Anolis sagrei: one gene and its partner. The protein of the gene in region 1 purifies or fractionates together with the protein of each later gene. This does not show direct contact. Links are inferred from orthologs where the notes say so. Each region holds a gene or a part of one and is shown on either strand. Other genes may lie near its edges.

Region 1 (7,868 bases):
GGGATGCAGGAAAGCCTATTCAAATGGTTAATTCTCCATCAAAAACCTCAACTTGATCAGGGAAAGCTACTCAGCAGAGCGGTTTCTAATGCTTTGCTCACCAAAGATTGATTTGCCCTCCCTTTTAAGGATTTATATTACTATCTACCCTTAACAGGCTAGAGGGAAATAGATACTACTGTTTCTATATGGGATTGTCAAGAAAAGATGCTGAGGGTGGGGTTGTCAACAGGAAAACAGCCCCTTCCTATAGAGAATCAAGTATCTATCTAGAAAAAACATACAAAAATAGCAGCCCCCCCCCCCTTCTTTTGTCCCCACCGAGAAAAGGGAAAGTAGTGGAAATATCTAAGCGAAATCTCTGAGTTAGACTGAATTCTCTCCTCTTGTCCTGGATGAAAATTGGGGCAAAGAAAAGGGGAAAAAATAGGGCTGTGGCCTTCTCAAGCCTCCACCTGCCTTGATATCCCGTCTCTCTCTTTCATCTCCAGGCCGAGTCGTAGAAGCAAAGGCAACAAAATAAAGGCCCAGAATTGGATTCCAAGGTGGACTGCGATGGCACAGCCTCCTTCCTCTGGTCCTGTTTTTGGGGTGCGTAAAGAAATCACAGCCACGCTTTCTATGGAGTGTGTGTGTGTCTTCCTCTACATCCCGTCTTTCTTTCTTTCTTCTCTAAGCCCGGAGTTGACACACAAGAATGTGGAATCTGTTGGCCTGCCTCCGGCCTTCTTTAGATCTCCCCTCCTTCCTTCCTTCCTCTCTTGTCCTGGAGAAAAGGCAAAAAGAAAAACGAAGTCACAGCCGTGTTGGGCCCTGTGTGTATATATGTATATGTTTGAGTGTGTATGCTTATGCTTGTATCAGTATGTACATATATGTACCTGGATGTATGTCTTTGTGTCAATGTTTGCACCTGGCTGTGTTTATGTATTTTTTTAATATTTATGTCTATATGTGTGTATGTGAAGGTATGTATTTATGTATCTGCTTTATGTTTGTATCTGTATGTGTCTGTGTTTAAGAAAGTGTTTTATGTTTGCATCTGTATGTGTGTGTCTCTGCATGTAGGTATGTGTTTATGTATGTGTTTTATGTTTGTTATCTGTATGTATGGGTCTGCATGTAGGTATGTGTTTATGTGTGTGTTTTATGTCTGTATCTGTATGTGTGTGTATCTGCGTGAAGGTATGTGTTTGAGTATGTTTAATGCTTGTAGCTGTATGTATGTGTATCTGCGTGAAGATATGTGTTTATGTATGTGTTTAATGTTTGTATCTGTATGTGCGTGTACCTGAGTGTAGGTATGTGTTTATGTATTTATGTTTGTATCTGTATGTAAGTATGTGTTTGTGGGGTGGTATGTGTTTATGTTTATATATGTGTTTTATGTTTGTATTTGTGTCTGTGTATAGGTTTATGTTTATGTATGTGTTTTATATTTGTATCTGCACGTGTGTGTATCTGTGTGAAGGTATATGTTTATGTATTTAATGTTTGTATCTGTTTGTATTTTTGTCTGTGTGCAGGTATGTGCTTTATGTTTGCATCTGTATGTGTGTGTATCTGCGTGAAAGTATGTGTTTATGTATGTGAAGGTATGTGCTTGAGTATGTTTAATGTTTGTAGCTGTATGTATGTGTATCTGCGTGAAGATATGTGTTTATGTATGTGTTTAATGTTTGTATCTGTATGTGCGTGTACCTGAGTGAAGGTGTGTGTTTATGATTGTATCTGTATGCGTGTGTAACTGCATGTAGGTATGTGTTTATGTATTTAGGTTTGTATTTGTATGTATGTGTTTGCGGGGTGGTATGTGTTTATGTTTATATATGTGTTTTATGTTTGTATTTGTGTCTGTGTATAGGTTTATGTTTATATGTTTAACGTTTGTATCTGTTTGTATTTTTGTCTGTGTGTAGGTATGTGCTTTATGTTTGCATCTGTATGTGTGTGTATCTGTGTGAAGGTATGTGTTTATGTACGTGAAGGTATGTGCTTGAGTATGTTTAATGTTTGTAGCTGTATGTATGTGTATCTGTGTGTGTTCATGTATGTGTTTAATGTTTGTATCGGTTTGTATTTTGTCTGTGTGTAGGTATGTGCTTTATGTTTGTATCTGTATGTGTGTGTATCTGCGTGTAGGTATGTGTTTGTGTATTTATGTTTGTATCTGTATGTATGTGTGGGGTGGTATGTGTTTATGTTTATGTATGTGTTTTATGTTTGTATTTGTGTGTGTGAATAGGTTTATGTATGTGTTTCACGTGTGTCTAGGTTTGTGTATGTGTTTTGTGTTTGTATCTGTGTGTGTGTCTTTTCCAGCCTTCTTGATCCCTCTCCTTCTTCTTCCTCCTTCTCCTCTGGCCCTGAGGGAAAAAGGGCTGCAAAGAAGAGTCAAAGCAGCACTTGATGGATGGATGGATGTGTTTGCATCTGCAGGTATGTTTCTGTGTGTGTATACCTGTCTGCGGGTCTGTGCCTCTCTCCTCGAGCCTTCCTTGTGCTTCCTTTCCTTCTCCTCTGCTCCTGACGAAAAAGGGGTGCAGAAAGGAGCCACCCTCGAGGGCAGTGTGGATGGGTAGTTGTGTGGCTCCCCTTTGAGGTCGGGTTCCTCCTTTTTTTCCCCCTTGGAGTCTCTCTTCCAGGCCTCCAAGTGCCTCCTGAGGGGGGTCCCGAGCCTGGGGGTGGCTGTCCTCCTCCTGCTTCTCGGCCGAAGTCCCCTCAGGCCCGTCGGCCCTTCTCCCTCGACGTCGGGCCTGAGGAGGAGACTTAGTTTCGCCCCCTCCTCCTCCTCCTCCTCCTCCTTCTCCTTCCCGCCGGAGGAATGTGGCGAGGCCTGGCCTGGCCTTCCTCCTCCTTCTCTTCCTCGGCCTGGTCTCCTCCGCAGGCCCCGCTCCGGCCTCCTCTCCGGATCCTGAAGAGCTTCTCCTCAGGCCAGCGCTGCTCCCCCCTCCGCCCCGCCGGCTTCCCTCAGGCAGGCCCCGGCTCGGCTCCGCTCGGCTACTTTCGGGTGTTTCCGGACGTTCCCTCCCCTTTCCCAGCCTCTTCTTCACTTCAGGGATTCGCCCCACTCGCTTTCGGCTCCTGTCGGGTATCTTCGGGACTTTCCGGCCATTCCCGAGTCAATTTGTGTCCCCCCCCCTTTATTTCAGTCATTATCTCCACTCGGCTATTTTCGGTCTTTTCCGGCCATTCCCGAGTCAATTAGTTTTTTTCTCCCCTTTATTTCAGTCATTATCTCCACTCGGCTATTTTCGGGCTTTTCCGGCCATTCCCGGATTTCTTCATCTCCCGCTCTTCCCCTTTTTTCCTCCACTCGTTCTCGGCTACCTTCGGGCTTTTCCGAAGATTCCCGAACTCATTTCCTCCTTTCGACTCTTCCCTCAGTTTCTATTCCTTCTGGAATTGCTTCGACTCTATTCGGCAACTTTCGGGGATTTCCGACTATTCCCGAACGTCCCCCCTGCCTTTACTCTGCAACTTTCGGGTATTTCCGAACATTCCCGAGTCAATTAGTATTTTTTTCCCCTTTATTTCAGTCATTATCTGCACTCGGCTATTTTCGGGCTTTTCCGGCCATTCCCGGATTTCTTCAGCTCCCGCTCTTCCCCTTTCTTCCTCCACTTCTTAGCTTCACTCGTTTCGGTTTTTTCCGGCAATTCCCGAACTCATTTCCCTCTTTCGACTCTTCCCTCAGTTTCTATTCCTTCTGGAATTGCTTCGACTCTGTTCGGCTACTTTCGGCGGTTTCCGACTATTCCCGAACGTACCCCCCTTTCTTTTATTCCTCTTCGCTCGATTCAGTATTCGGCAACCTTCGGGTATTTCCGGAAATTCCCGAACGTAACCCCTCCTCCTCCTCCCATCCCGATCCTTTATGCCTCTCCGCTCAACTCAGTTTTCGGCTGCTTTCGGGCTTTTCCGGTAATTCCCGGACTTCATTCCTTCTCCCCCTTCGGCTTCTTTACACAGCGGTTCGTTCTCACTCGTTCTCGGCTACCTTCGGACTTTTCCGGAGATTCCCGGACTTATTTCCCACTTTCCTCCGTTTCTAATCCTTCAGGAATTCCCTCGACTCTGTTCGGCTACTTTCGTACTTTTCCGAATATTCCCGAACCCCCCCACTTTCCCTTTATGCCTCTTCGCTCGACTCAATACTCGGCAACCTTCGGGATTTTCCGGCAATTCCCGAACTCATTTCTCCCTTTCGCCTCTTTCCTCCGCTTCCATTCCTTCAAGAATTTGCTCGACTCACTTCGGCTACTTTCGGATTTTTCCGACTTTTCCCGAACGTTACCCCCCCCCACACACACACATTTCTTTCCCCTTCTACTTTATGCCTCTTAGTTCGGCCACACTCGGCTATCTCCGGCTTTTTCCGGATTCATTTTTCGCTCCCTCATGTTCCCCTTCTACTTCTGTAAGTCGGAGTTCTCTCGACTCAGCTCGGCTATCTTCGGAGTTTTCCGGTAATTCCGACTCTTAATCGCCCCGCCTCGTTCCTTTCCGCCTGCTTCCTCTGCTCCCTTACTTCAGGCTTTCACTCGGAAGGCTTCGGGCTTTTCCGGAGATGCCGGGACTCGTTTTTCTCCTCTCCCCCTCCCTTTTTTCCCCTTCGGGAGGATCCCTCCGCGTCGGCACGCGTCACGCCCTTCCCTTGCTCCGCCTCGACTCTTCCTGTCACAGCACATGCGTTGCCGCTTCCGCCATAGGCCGATAAAGGAGGGCGGGGGGGGGGGAAAGTTCCTTTAAGGAGCAATATGAAATGGGAAATCGAATTGCATTGTGTTTTTGGAGAAGAGTTAGGGAGATGCCACACATAGTCTGAAATAGAGGCCTCTCCAAGGTGCTGGACTTATTTTGGAGGCTGAATCCTTGTCTACATTGGAGTAAGTCCCACTTAGGAGAGAATTGCAACCCAAGCGCCATATGCAAAGTGCTGCCACCTTCAGGAAGCTCCTGGTATTGCAATATTTGGTGCCAAAGAAAGACATTGGAGACAGTATGTTCCAACAGGCAAGAGTTCTTTCTCCCACCTTGGACATTGTTCCACAGATACATAAAGTCAATTTTCCTATTTTCCAACAGACCTCACAACCTCGGAGGATGCCTGCCATAGATGTGGGTGAAACGTCAGGAGAGAATGCTTCCGGAACATGGACATACAGCCCAGAAAACACACAGCAACCCAATCTGTGCCCTGCCATTGTTTTTCCTATTTCTGTCTGTGGTTGCGAAATCAACTCATTTGAAATGTCGCAGGACAAATATAGTTAACCCTCCTTGTTTTTTACTTTAGGAGATTTGACTATTCACAGATGTTATGACATGTTTGAATAGTGTGCGTATTCTGTTTATTTTCCCCCTTAAGATCAATAGAAGAATTGGAAAACTTTTAAAATATGTATGCCAAGATGTTAAAGTGGCAACGATTTTAAACCCAGAGACGTATTATTATTATTATTATTATTATTATTATTATTATTATTTGAAACACAACAGGATGAGTCCACAGCAAACAAGATTACTATACTGGCTGTTGTATTGGATCACACATCCAACATGTCCCAAGTGTCTAGGACTATGTGATGTATCAGTGAACAATGCATGCAGATCCCAGTAGCTGGCAGATGGTAATCGTGTCAGCACCGATTGTGCTTAAGTGCAGGCCAAGGTCTTTAGGCACTGCACCCAGTGTGCCGATCACCACTGGAACCACCTTTACTGGCTTGTGCCAGAGTCTTTGCAGTTTGATCTTTAAATCCTCATATCGTGTCAACATTATTATTATTATCATCATCATTATTATTTTGCAAAATTTGTTCTCTTGGAAATCACTTCCAGACATTTTGCAAAACAGGACAAAAGTCAATCTATCGACTTCAGGGAGAAGAACGAGCATAAAGTGCAACATCCCAGACTAAACACCCCATAAATTGATCGGCAGCCACTTAAGATGAACGGACTGCAAACATTGTATTGAGTTTCACTTCCCCTCTCTGAGGGAAAAACACCTGAATAAACTAAAGCAACAACAGTTTGGAAGCTCATTTATTTCATCTTGCCAGAAAATCTATGGTCAGAGCTCAGCTCTAATGCAATAATCTATCATTGTTAAGGCACAGTTGCCATGAAGGGGTTTCTCCTTGTTTCGCAGCAGTGAGCAGAATGGCAGAAATTCTGCATAACAGACATAAATGTGTGCCTAGTTTCTAATACAAAGAACACCCAGTGACACTCAGGAGGCTTATGGTTGATGAATGGGAGAATAACTTCTTTGCGCTGCATGTAAACCTGTGGAACTCATTGCTACAAGTCTTTGTTACAAAATATAGACAAATTTGTAAAGGGTATCAGCCAGAGCTTGGAAAACTAGGTCTTTGGATGATCATTCAGCAATGTTCCCTGGAAAATTCTGAAAGTTATAATCCAAATGAGAGCCCCCAGTGACATAGCAGGTTAAACCGCTGAGCTGCTGAACTTGCTGACCAAAAGGTCATCAATTCAAATCCAGGGAGCAGGGTGAGTTCCCACTGTTAGCCCCAGCTTCTGCCAACTTAGCAGTTCAAAAACATGCAAATGTGAATAGATCAATAGGTACCGCTTCAGCAGGAAGGTAACAACACTCCATGCAGTCATGCTGGCCACATGACCTAGGTGGTGACTACGGACAATGCCAGCTCTTTGGCTAAGAAATAGAGATGAGCACCAACCCCAGGCTTGGACTCGACTAGACTTAATGTCACGAGGAAACCTTTACCTTTTCTATAATTCAAATAAGTAATTACTCCTTGAGTGCATCTACATTGGGAAATGAATGTAACGATGCTCCATGCAGTCATGCTGGCCGCATGACCCAGGAGGCGTCTATGGACAACGCTGGCTCTTCGGCTTAGAAGTGAAGAAGAGCACCAGCCCCTAGAGTCGGACATGACTAGACTTAATGTCAGGGGAAAACCTTTACCTTTACTTTAATTCAAATAAGTAATTACTCTTAGAGTGCATCTACATTGGGAAATGAATGCATTTTGATCCCAGTTTAACTGCCCTGGCTCAATGCTATGGCATCCTGGGAGTTGTCATTGGATGAAGTACCATCACTCTGGGAGAGAAGGCTAAAAGCCCTGGAATACTCCAGCTCCTGGGATTCCATAGCACTGAGCAATGGCAGTTAAACTGTGGTCAAACTATAATAATTCTGCAGAGAAGAAAACTATTAGAGGTTCAGGAATGTGTTTATTTACATTATGACCATAGACCATTCATAAATAATTGTGCTGTCACGCACTGGGCCTGTGAAAGAGTCTGTAGACAGGACGTATTCTGTATGCCCAACGGGACGCCGGGGGTGCCTCAGATTAGAGGCCTTTTGGATTTCCCTAAACAAAGTCTTGGAAACTTAGAAACTTGGAAAGTTTAACAAAGTTCTTTATTAGTGCTTAGGTCTTCAATAAGTCAAACAAATACTTCAAGGCTTTGAATCAACTGGTGACTTTCTTAATCTTGTTCACAAGGGACAGGCAACTATCTTCATGAACTGTTTCTTCACTATCAGGGAAATCCTTGACCTCTACCTGGGCAATCTGTGTTAAGCTCTGTTGGCGTGGGCCCCTACACCCGGTCCAGATTGCGTTATGGCTGCCGTGAGTGGTCCTTACCAAACAGAGTCCTTTTGTAGATTTCCAAGAGGAAAGAAGGTCTTCAATTCCCAGTGAAGGCTGGCTGTAAAGCTGTGGAACTGGATCCCCCCAACAAAGGCTATGCTTCTCTGTAGAGCTGTGGGACTGAATTCCCCCCAGCAAAAGCCGTAGAGCTGTGGGACTGAATTCCCCCCAGCAAAAGCCGTAGAGCTGTGGGACTGGATCCCC
Region 2 (7,590 bases), on another chromosome or scaffold:
CATCGGAAGTCATTTGTGTTTTTTTCAAACTAAAGTTTTGTGGGATAGTGAACCAACCTTTCAGCTTTAAAAAAGTCAAGGATCCCTTTCCCTGGGATACAGGTGAGGCTCCCAGAACTCTTTGGCAGAAAAGAGTGCTAGTGAACTGCTATGGCTCCATGATTCTGTAGCACTAAGCCATGGCACTTCAAGTGGTGCCAAAGTGCACTAAGCGTAGGCTAAAAAAAAAAACCTTTGAAAACTACAACTTCCAGGGTTCCATAGTATGGAGCCGTGACAATTCAAGTGGGCTCAAAGTGCATTAAGGGTTGATGGCACAGAACAGTGGTTCTCAATCTCTGGGTCCCCAGATGTTTTGGCCTACAATTCCCAGAAATCCCAGCCAGTTTACCAGCTGTTGGGATTTCTGGGAGTTGAAGGTCAAAACATCTGGGGATCCACAGATTGAGAAACACTGGCACAGAGAGCTAAATTCTACAAAACTTCCAGTGTTCCACAGCATGCAGCTACGTCGGTTCAAACTGCATTCAAAGTAGTGAAATGGAATCCTGGAAGTTATACCTTTAGAAGGAATAGGCAAAGAGGCCTACAGAAGCTTGGGAGTACTTCAGGATCTGTCTCTCCAAATGTCAGCCAAGGTAGATGCAAATGGTCATGAGTGCATACTATCAGCTTCAACCGATCTGCCAGCTATGCCCTTCCTAGATTTGGAGGTCCTACAGATAGAGTCGGAGACGACTGAACGAATGAACAACAACAACAACAGATGGTAGTGCATGTACTGGGAACCTCAAGGTTGGACTTCTGCAATGTGCTACCCCTATACCAAGTTCGGAAACTCCAACTGGTTCAAAATACAGCAGCCAGACTGGTTACGGGAACATCTAGGAATGTGCATATTACCCTGTATACGCCCCACACACTTCGGACTTCTGCAGGGCGCCTGGTCCAACCAGCCAGAACCAGTAACCGTCACCCAGAGGACCTTTCCATTGCCCACCCCAAGGCTGTGGAGTGACCTGCAGGTAGAGCTCTGACAGTTAAATCAGCTGTCGGAATTTAAAACACAAGTGAAGACCTGTCTCTTCCTGCAGGCCCACCCAGAAAGTCTTTAAATACAAAGATGCATTTTGATCTCTGTTTTGTCTGTTTTAATATGAATATTTAAATGTGTATTTAGGAAGAACTTCCTGACTGTGAGCACTGTTCAGCAGTGGAACTCTCTGCCCCGGAGTGTGGTTGAGGCTCTTTCTTTGGAAGCTTTTAAACAGAGGCTGGGTGGCCATCTGTCGGGAGTGCTTTGAATGCAATTTTCCTGCTTCTATTTCCTAGAGATACATTTTGGTACATAACTTTTATGGAGGTATGCTTTAGTGCGCGTGTATTTGTAGAGTTTTTCTGGTGTTTGTGTATTTTAATGGTTTGGTAGTCCACCTCGAGCCATGAGGAGAGGTGGGTAAGAAATACAATTATTATTATTATTATTACTAGCCGTTCCCTGCCATGCGTTCCTGTGGCGCAGTCTGGTGATCTGGAAAATAAAGTAATGGTTTCTAATCTATGCAATTTCTTTCTGCTTGTGGGTAAACAGTATTTCTTGTGGTTTCTTTGTCAGTGGGGATGTGGAGAGTGTCTGGTTTGCCTACTCTGGAACATGCAACATATCGTTGAAATTGCTGTTGTTAACTGCTTTGAGTCACCTAAGGGCTGAGAGAAGCTGTATATAAATGAACTAAGTAAGTAAATAAATAAAATCGTTGTCCTTCTTTAAGGGTCCCTTTCAAATCTATGATATTATATCTCTCTGTGTGTGAATCATATAGATCTATCTTTCTATGGCTGGATGGCTGTCAGGAGGGCTTTGATTAGATTTTCTTGCCCTGGTGAAGAGAGTTGGACTGGATGGCCCTAAGTATTTTGGTTGGTCATGGGGATTCTGCGTGGGAAGTTTGCCCCAATTCTGTCATTTGTGGGGTTCTGAATGCTCTTTGACTGTAGGTGAACTATAAATCCCAGTAACTACAACTCCCAAATGTTGAGGTCTATTTCCCCCAAAATCCATCTGTGTTCATTAGTTGGGCATATGGAATATTTGTGCCAAGTTTGGTCCAGATCCATCATTGTTTGAGTCCACAGTGCTCTCTGGATGTAGGTGAACTACAACTTCCAAACTCAAGGTCAATGCCCACCAAACCCTTCTAGTGTTTTCTGTTGGGTCATGGGAGTCCTGTGTGTCACCTTTGGTGGAGTTCAGAATGCTCTTTGATTGTTGTTGAACTATAAATCCCAAGAACTACAACTCCCAAATGACAAAATCAAAAAGTTTTGAGTGAAGGACATACGTTGGGTTGTTAGGTGTATGCTGTCCAAATGTGGTGTCAATTCGGCCACTGGTTTTTGAGTTCTGTTAATGCCACAAAACGAACATTATATTTTTGTTTATATATAGATGATGATGATGATGATTATGATTCCTGGCGCCACTTCCCCTTGACGCCTCAGGAGGCCTTTCCTGCTCCTCCTCCCACCTGCTTGGCCTTCTCGAAGGAGGAGAGGCCTGGGCCTCCTCCTGAGCGCCTCCCTGCGCCTGAGGCCTAGCTTGCTCCTTCAGCCTCCGCCTGCGGCCTTCCCTCCCTCCCTCTCCTTCTCCCAAGGAAGGCCCCCCTCACCCTTGAGGACGTTGCTGTAGATGGTGGCGCGGAAGTCCTCGCGCGCGGAGCGGTCCCAGTCCTCTCCGTGGATGATGCGCATCTGCTTGAGGAAGGTGCTCTTGCCGCTCTCGCCGGCGCCCAGCAGCAGGATCTTGACCAGCCTCTTGACGTAGGTCTTCTCGCGGTAGAGGCACTTGTCGATCTCTTTGGACTTGCGCTGCTGCTCGGCCTCGCTGCTGTTCAGCAGGCAGCTCGGGAAGCACACCGACAGCGAGGACCGCGATGGCAGGAAATCCGCCATCTTAGCGAGCACTGCCAACCAGGGAGCGGCCGCCGCGGCCCGGGCCGCTCTGCGCCTGCGCACCGCGCTCTCTCGCGCTCGCTCTCTCCCCCTCCACACACACACACCCTCCTCCTCCTCCTCCCTCGCCCTCCTTCCTTCCTCCGCTCGGCGTCACGTGACGGCTGCCCAATTAAGAGCTGCGCTTGGCGGCGCGCGGAGCACGTTGATCCTTGGACTCGCGTCGTCGTGGCCCCGCCCGCCCTATTCCACTTCCCCGCGCTCGCCCAGCCCCAACTCAGCGGAGTCTTTATTGGCGCATGCGCAAAGTGGTTTGGTCTTTTTACGAGGAGCGTTCCCGCTCTTCTTTATAGGCAGGGCTCCTTTGCATTTGGGAAGTGGCTTCTGAGGGCCCTTCCACACCACTGAATAAAATCCCACATTATCTGCTTTGAACTGGAATATATGGCAGTATGGACTCAGCTAACCTAGTTCAGAGCAGATATTGTGGGATTGTTTGCCTTAAATATTTAGGATATATGGCTTTGGGCCCTTCCACACAGCCCTATATCCCAGAATATTAAGGCAGAAAATACCACATCCGCTTTGAAATGGAATATATGACAGTATGGACTCAGATAACCTAGTTCAAAGCAGATATTGTGGAGGCTCCTTCTTTGGAAGCTTTTAAACAGAGGCTGGATGGCCATCTGTCAGGGGTGATTTGAATGCAATATTCCTGCTTCTTGACAGGGGCTTGGACTGGATGGCCCATGAGGTCTCTTCCAACTCTGGTTCTATGATTTTTTGCCCTAAAATTATAGGTTATATGGCTTTGGGCCCTTCCACACAGCCCTATATCCCAGAATATCAAGGCAGAAAATCCCACATTATCTGCTTTGAACTGGAATATGTGGCAGTATGGCAATATCAAGGCAGAAAATCCCACAATATGAACTGGGTTGAGTAAGAAAATGTGGGATTTCCTGCCTTGATATTCTGGGATTTAGGACTGTGGAAGGGCTCTAAGGGTACCCAGTGGGTTTCAATGGCCAAGCAGAGATTTGAACCCTAGTCTCAGAGTCATCTGCTTTGAGCTGGAATATATGTCACTGGACACATAACCCAGTTCAAAGCAGATAATGTGGGATTTCCTGCCTTGATATTCTGGGAAGACAAGCGGACAAATGTCAGTGTGCTGGAAGAAGCAAAGACCACCAGCATTGAAGCAATGGTCCTCCGCCATCAACTTCGCTGGACTGGCCACGTTGTCTGGATGTTCGACCACCGTCTCCCAAAGCAGTTGCTCTACTCCGAACTCAAGAATGGAAAACAGAAAAGAGATAGGCACTGGGAATCTCTGGCCCTTGATCACTCCAGTTGGAGGTCAGCTGTGACCAACAGTGGTGTAGAATTTGAAAAGGCACAAATGGAGGGCAAAAGAGAGAAACATGCCAAGAGGAAGGCGTGTCAAGCCAACCCTGACCGGGACCGCCTTCCACCTGAAAACCGATGTCCTCACTGCGGGAGAAGATGTAGGTCAAGAATAGGGCTCCACAGCCACCTCCGGACCCACCGCCAAGACACTGATCTTGGAAGACAATCCTACTCGGAAACGAGGGATTGCCTAAGAGAGATTCTGGGATATAGGGCTATGTGGAAGGACCCCAGACAGGCTGTATATCTGAGGATCTGGTCTCAGGTTTTCTGTTTATCCCAGATTATCTGGCAATACAGATTCATATAATCCAGTTTAAAGCAGAAAACCTGAGGTCAGATCCTAGGATTAAGGGCTCTTCCGCACAGCCATATAACCAAGGATATCAAGGCAGAAAATCCTATAATATCTGCTTTGAACCCCCATTGACAATGGACCTGGAGCACATTTTGCACATATAACCCCCATGACCAACAATACATTTAGATTTATAGCTGTAGGTTCTGGGATTTATAGATCACATGCAATCAAAGAGCACTCTGGACTCGACCAACAATGGACCTGGAACTAACTTGGCAAACAAAAACCCCATGACCAAGAAAAAAACACTGGAAGAGTTGTAGTTCACCTGCATCCAGAGTGCACTGTGAATCCAAACTTGACATGCATACCTGATATTCCCAAATTTGAATACTGGTGAGTTTGGAGGGGAATTGGCCTGGATATTTTGTGGTTGTAGATACTGGGATGTATAGTTTACCTGCAATCAAAGAGCACTCTGGACCCCACCAACAATGACTCTGGACCTCACTTGGCACACAGAACCCCCATGATCTGCACAAAATGCAGCAGGACTTGGGGGGGGGGAGTGGGAATTCACCTTGATTTATAGGAATTATAGTTCACCTACATCCAGACTGCACTGTAAATGCAAACAATGGGCCTTATGAACCCACAACTCCCAGGATTCTATAGCATTGAGCCATGGCAGTTATAGTTGTTTCAAACTGCATTAATTCTACAGTGTAGATGCACCCTTAGGGAACATAGCTGGGGGGGGGGGCTATTAATATTGTCCCACCCACCTACTATTAGATTGCGCTGTGGCGTAACTAGCTGATAGCTAGCTGCATTAAATCACTACTGACGGAGAGGTCATGAGTTCGAAGCCAGCCCAGCTCAGAGTGAGCTTCCAGCCATTACTCTAGCTTGCTGTCGACCTTTGCAGTCCGAAAGACAGTTGTATCTGTCAAGTAGGAAATTTAGGTACCGCTTTATGCGGGGAGGCTATTTTAACTAATTTACGATGCCATAAAACCTTCCAGAGATGTGCAGAACGAGGAAGTACTCCATCAAAGGACTCGGTGTCACAAATGGATGGTGAAGCTGCAGTTCCCTCTGTGGCTGGAATCAAGCTGGAATCGAGCATACCCCCATGGAGCCGGAAAGCTGGAATGTTAAATTGCCTCTGTGTCTGTCTATACATGTTGTGTGTCTAATTGGCATTGAATGTTTGCCATCTATATGTGCATTGTAATCTGCTCTGAGTCCACTGTGGGGTGAAAAGGGTGGAAAATAAATACTGTAAATAATAAATAAATAATAAAAGTTTCCTGCCACCTGAGGCAGCTGCCTCAGTCCAATTTAGTGCCAGCTCTAGGTCATTTTCAGCAAATGGCATCTAATGGGAATTCCCTTTCCACCAGAGCAATGCTCAGGTCTGAGCATCTGTCAGTAAGTCTACAGACAATAGTTGGTGATGATTATTCTACCTTGGTCAGACCACACCTGGAATATTGTGTCCAATTCTGGGCGCCACAATCGAAGAGAGATATTGACAACTTGGAATGTGTCCAGAGGAGGGCGACGAAAATGATCAAGGGTCTGGAGAACAAGCCCTATGAAGAGCGGCTTAAAGAGCTGGGCATGTTTAGCGTGAAGAAGAGAAGGCTGAGAGGAGACATGATAGCCATGTATAAATATGCGAGAGGAAGTCATCGGGAAGAGGGCGCGAACTTGTTTTCTGCTGCCCTGGAGACTCGGACGCGGAAAAATAGCTTCAAAGGAGATTCAGGAGATTCCACCTGAACATTAGGAAGAACTTCCTGACTGTGAGAGCTGTTTAGCAGTGGAACTCTCTGCCCGGGATTGTGGAGGCTCCTTCTTTGGAAGCTTTTAAACAGAGACTGGATGGCCATCTGTCGGGGGTGCTTTGAATGCAATTTTCCTGCTTCTTGGCAGGGGGTTGGCCTGGATGGCCCAGGAGGTCTCTTCCAACTCTATCTTCTATATAAATAAAAATGTAATGTTCGTTTGTGGGATTAACAGAACTCAAAAACCACTGGACGAATTGACACCAAATTTGGACACAAGACACCTAACAACCCAATGTTGTTATGTATGTCCTTCACTAAAAAAAATTGATTTTGTCATTTGGGAGTTGTAGTTGCTGGGATTTATAGTTCACCTGCAATCAAAGAGCATTCTGAACCCCACCAACAATGGAATTGAACCAAATTTGGCACACAGTTCTCCCATGACGAAAAGAAAATACTGGAAGGGTTTGGTGGGCAGTGTCCTTTGGTTTTGGAGTTGTAGTTCACCTACATGCAGAGATCACTGTGGACTCAAACAATGATGGATCTGGACCAAACTTGGCACAAATATTCCATATGCCCAAATGTGAACACTGGTGGAGTTTGGGGAAAATAGAATCTTGACATTTGGGAGTTGTAGTTGCTGGGATTTATAGTTCACCTACAATCACAGAGCATTCTGAACCCACCAACGATAGAATTGGGCCAAACCTGCCACACAGAATCCCATGCGGGCCATAGCAACGTGTGGCAGGGGACGGCTAGTGATTCTATAAAGAACTAACTGTCCTCTGCCACGCGTTGCTGTGGCCTAGTCTGTTGATATGGAAAATAAAGTAATGAGAAAGTGTTGGTTTCTAATATATATAATGTCTTGATGCTTGTGGGTAAACAGTATTTCTTGCTGTTATTTTGTCAGTGTTGATGTGGAGAGTGTCTGGTTTGCCTACTTAGGAACATGCAACATATCATTGTCCTTCTTTAGGGGTCCCTTTCAAATCTATGATACTATATTTGTGTGTGTGTGAATCATATCTATAGCTGGATGGCTCTTTGTCAGGAGGGCTTTGATTACGTTTTCTTGTCCTGATGAAGGGAGTTTCACTGGATGGGCTTAAGTATTTT

What was found.
Region 2: the proteins of ARHGEF12 (region 1) and GNA13 purify together in Homo sapiens (affinity purification with western blotting; 3 studies listed by BioGRID). This does not show direct contact. The link is inferred for Anolis sagrei from reciprocal best matches to the Homo sapiens genes ARHGEF12 and GNA13.

Annotation. Positions count from the first base shown.
Region 1 is NC_090027.1:37,523,885-37,531,752, forward strand, and holds the start of ARHGEF12 (rho guanine nucleotide exchange factor 12), read right to left. Parts: upstream 3,133-7,868; 5' UTR 2,462-3,132; intron 767-2,461; 5' UTR 1-766. UniProt on the Homo sapiens protein: May play a role in the regulation of RhoA GTPase by guanine nucleotide-binding alpha-12 (GNA12) and alpha-13 (GNA13). Acts as guanine nucleotide exchange factor (GEF) for RhoA GTPase and may act as GTPase-activating protein (GAP) for GNA12 and GNA13.
Region 2 is NC_090022.1:182,315,693-182,323,282, reverse strand, and holds the start of GNA13 (guanine nucleotide-binding protein subunit alpha-13), read right to left. Parts: upstream 3,032-7,590; 5' UTR 2,953-3,031; coding exon 2,670-2,952; intron 1-2,669. UniProt on the Homo sapiens protein: Guanine nucleotide-binding proteins (G proteins) are involved as modulators or transducers in various transmembrane signaling systems.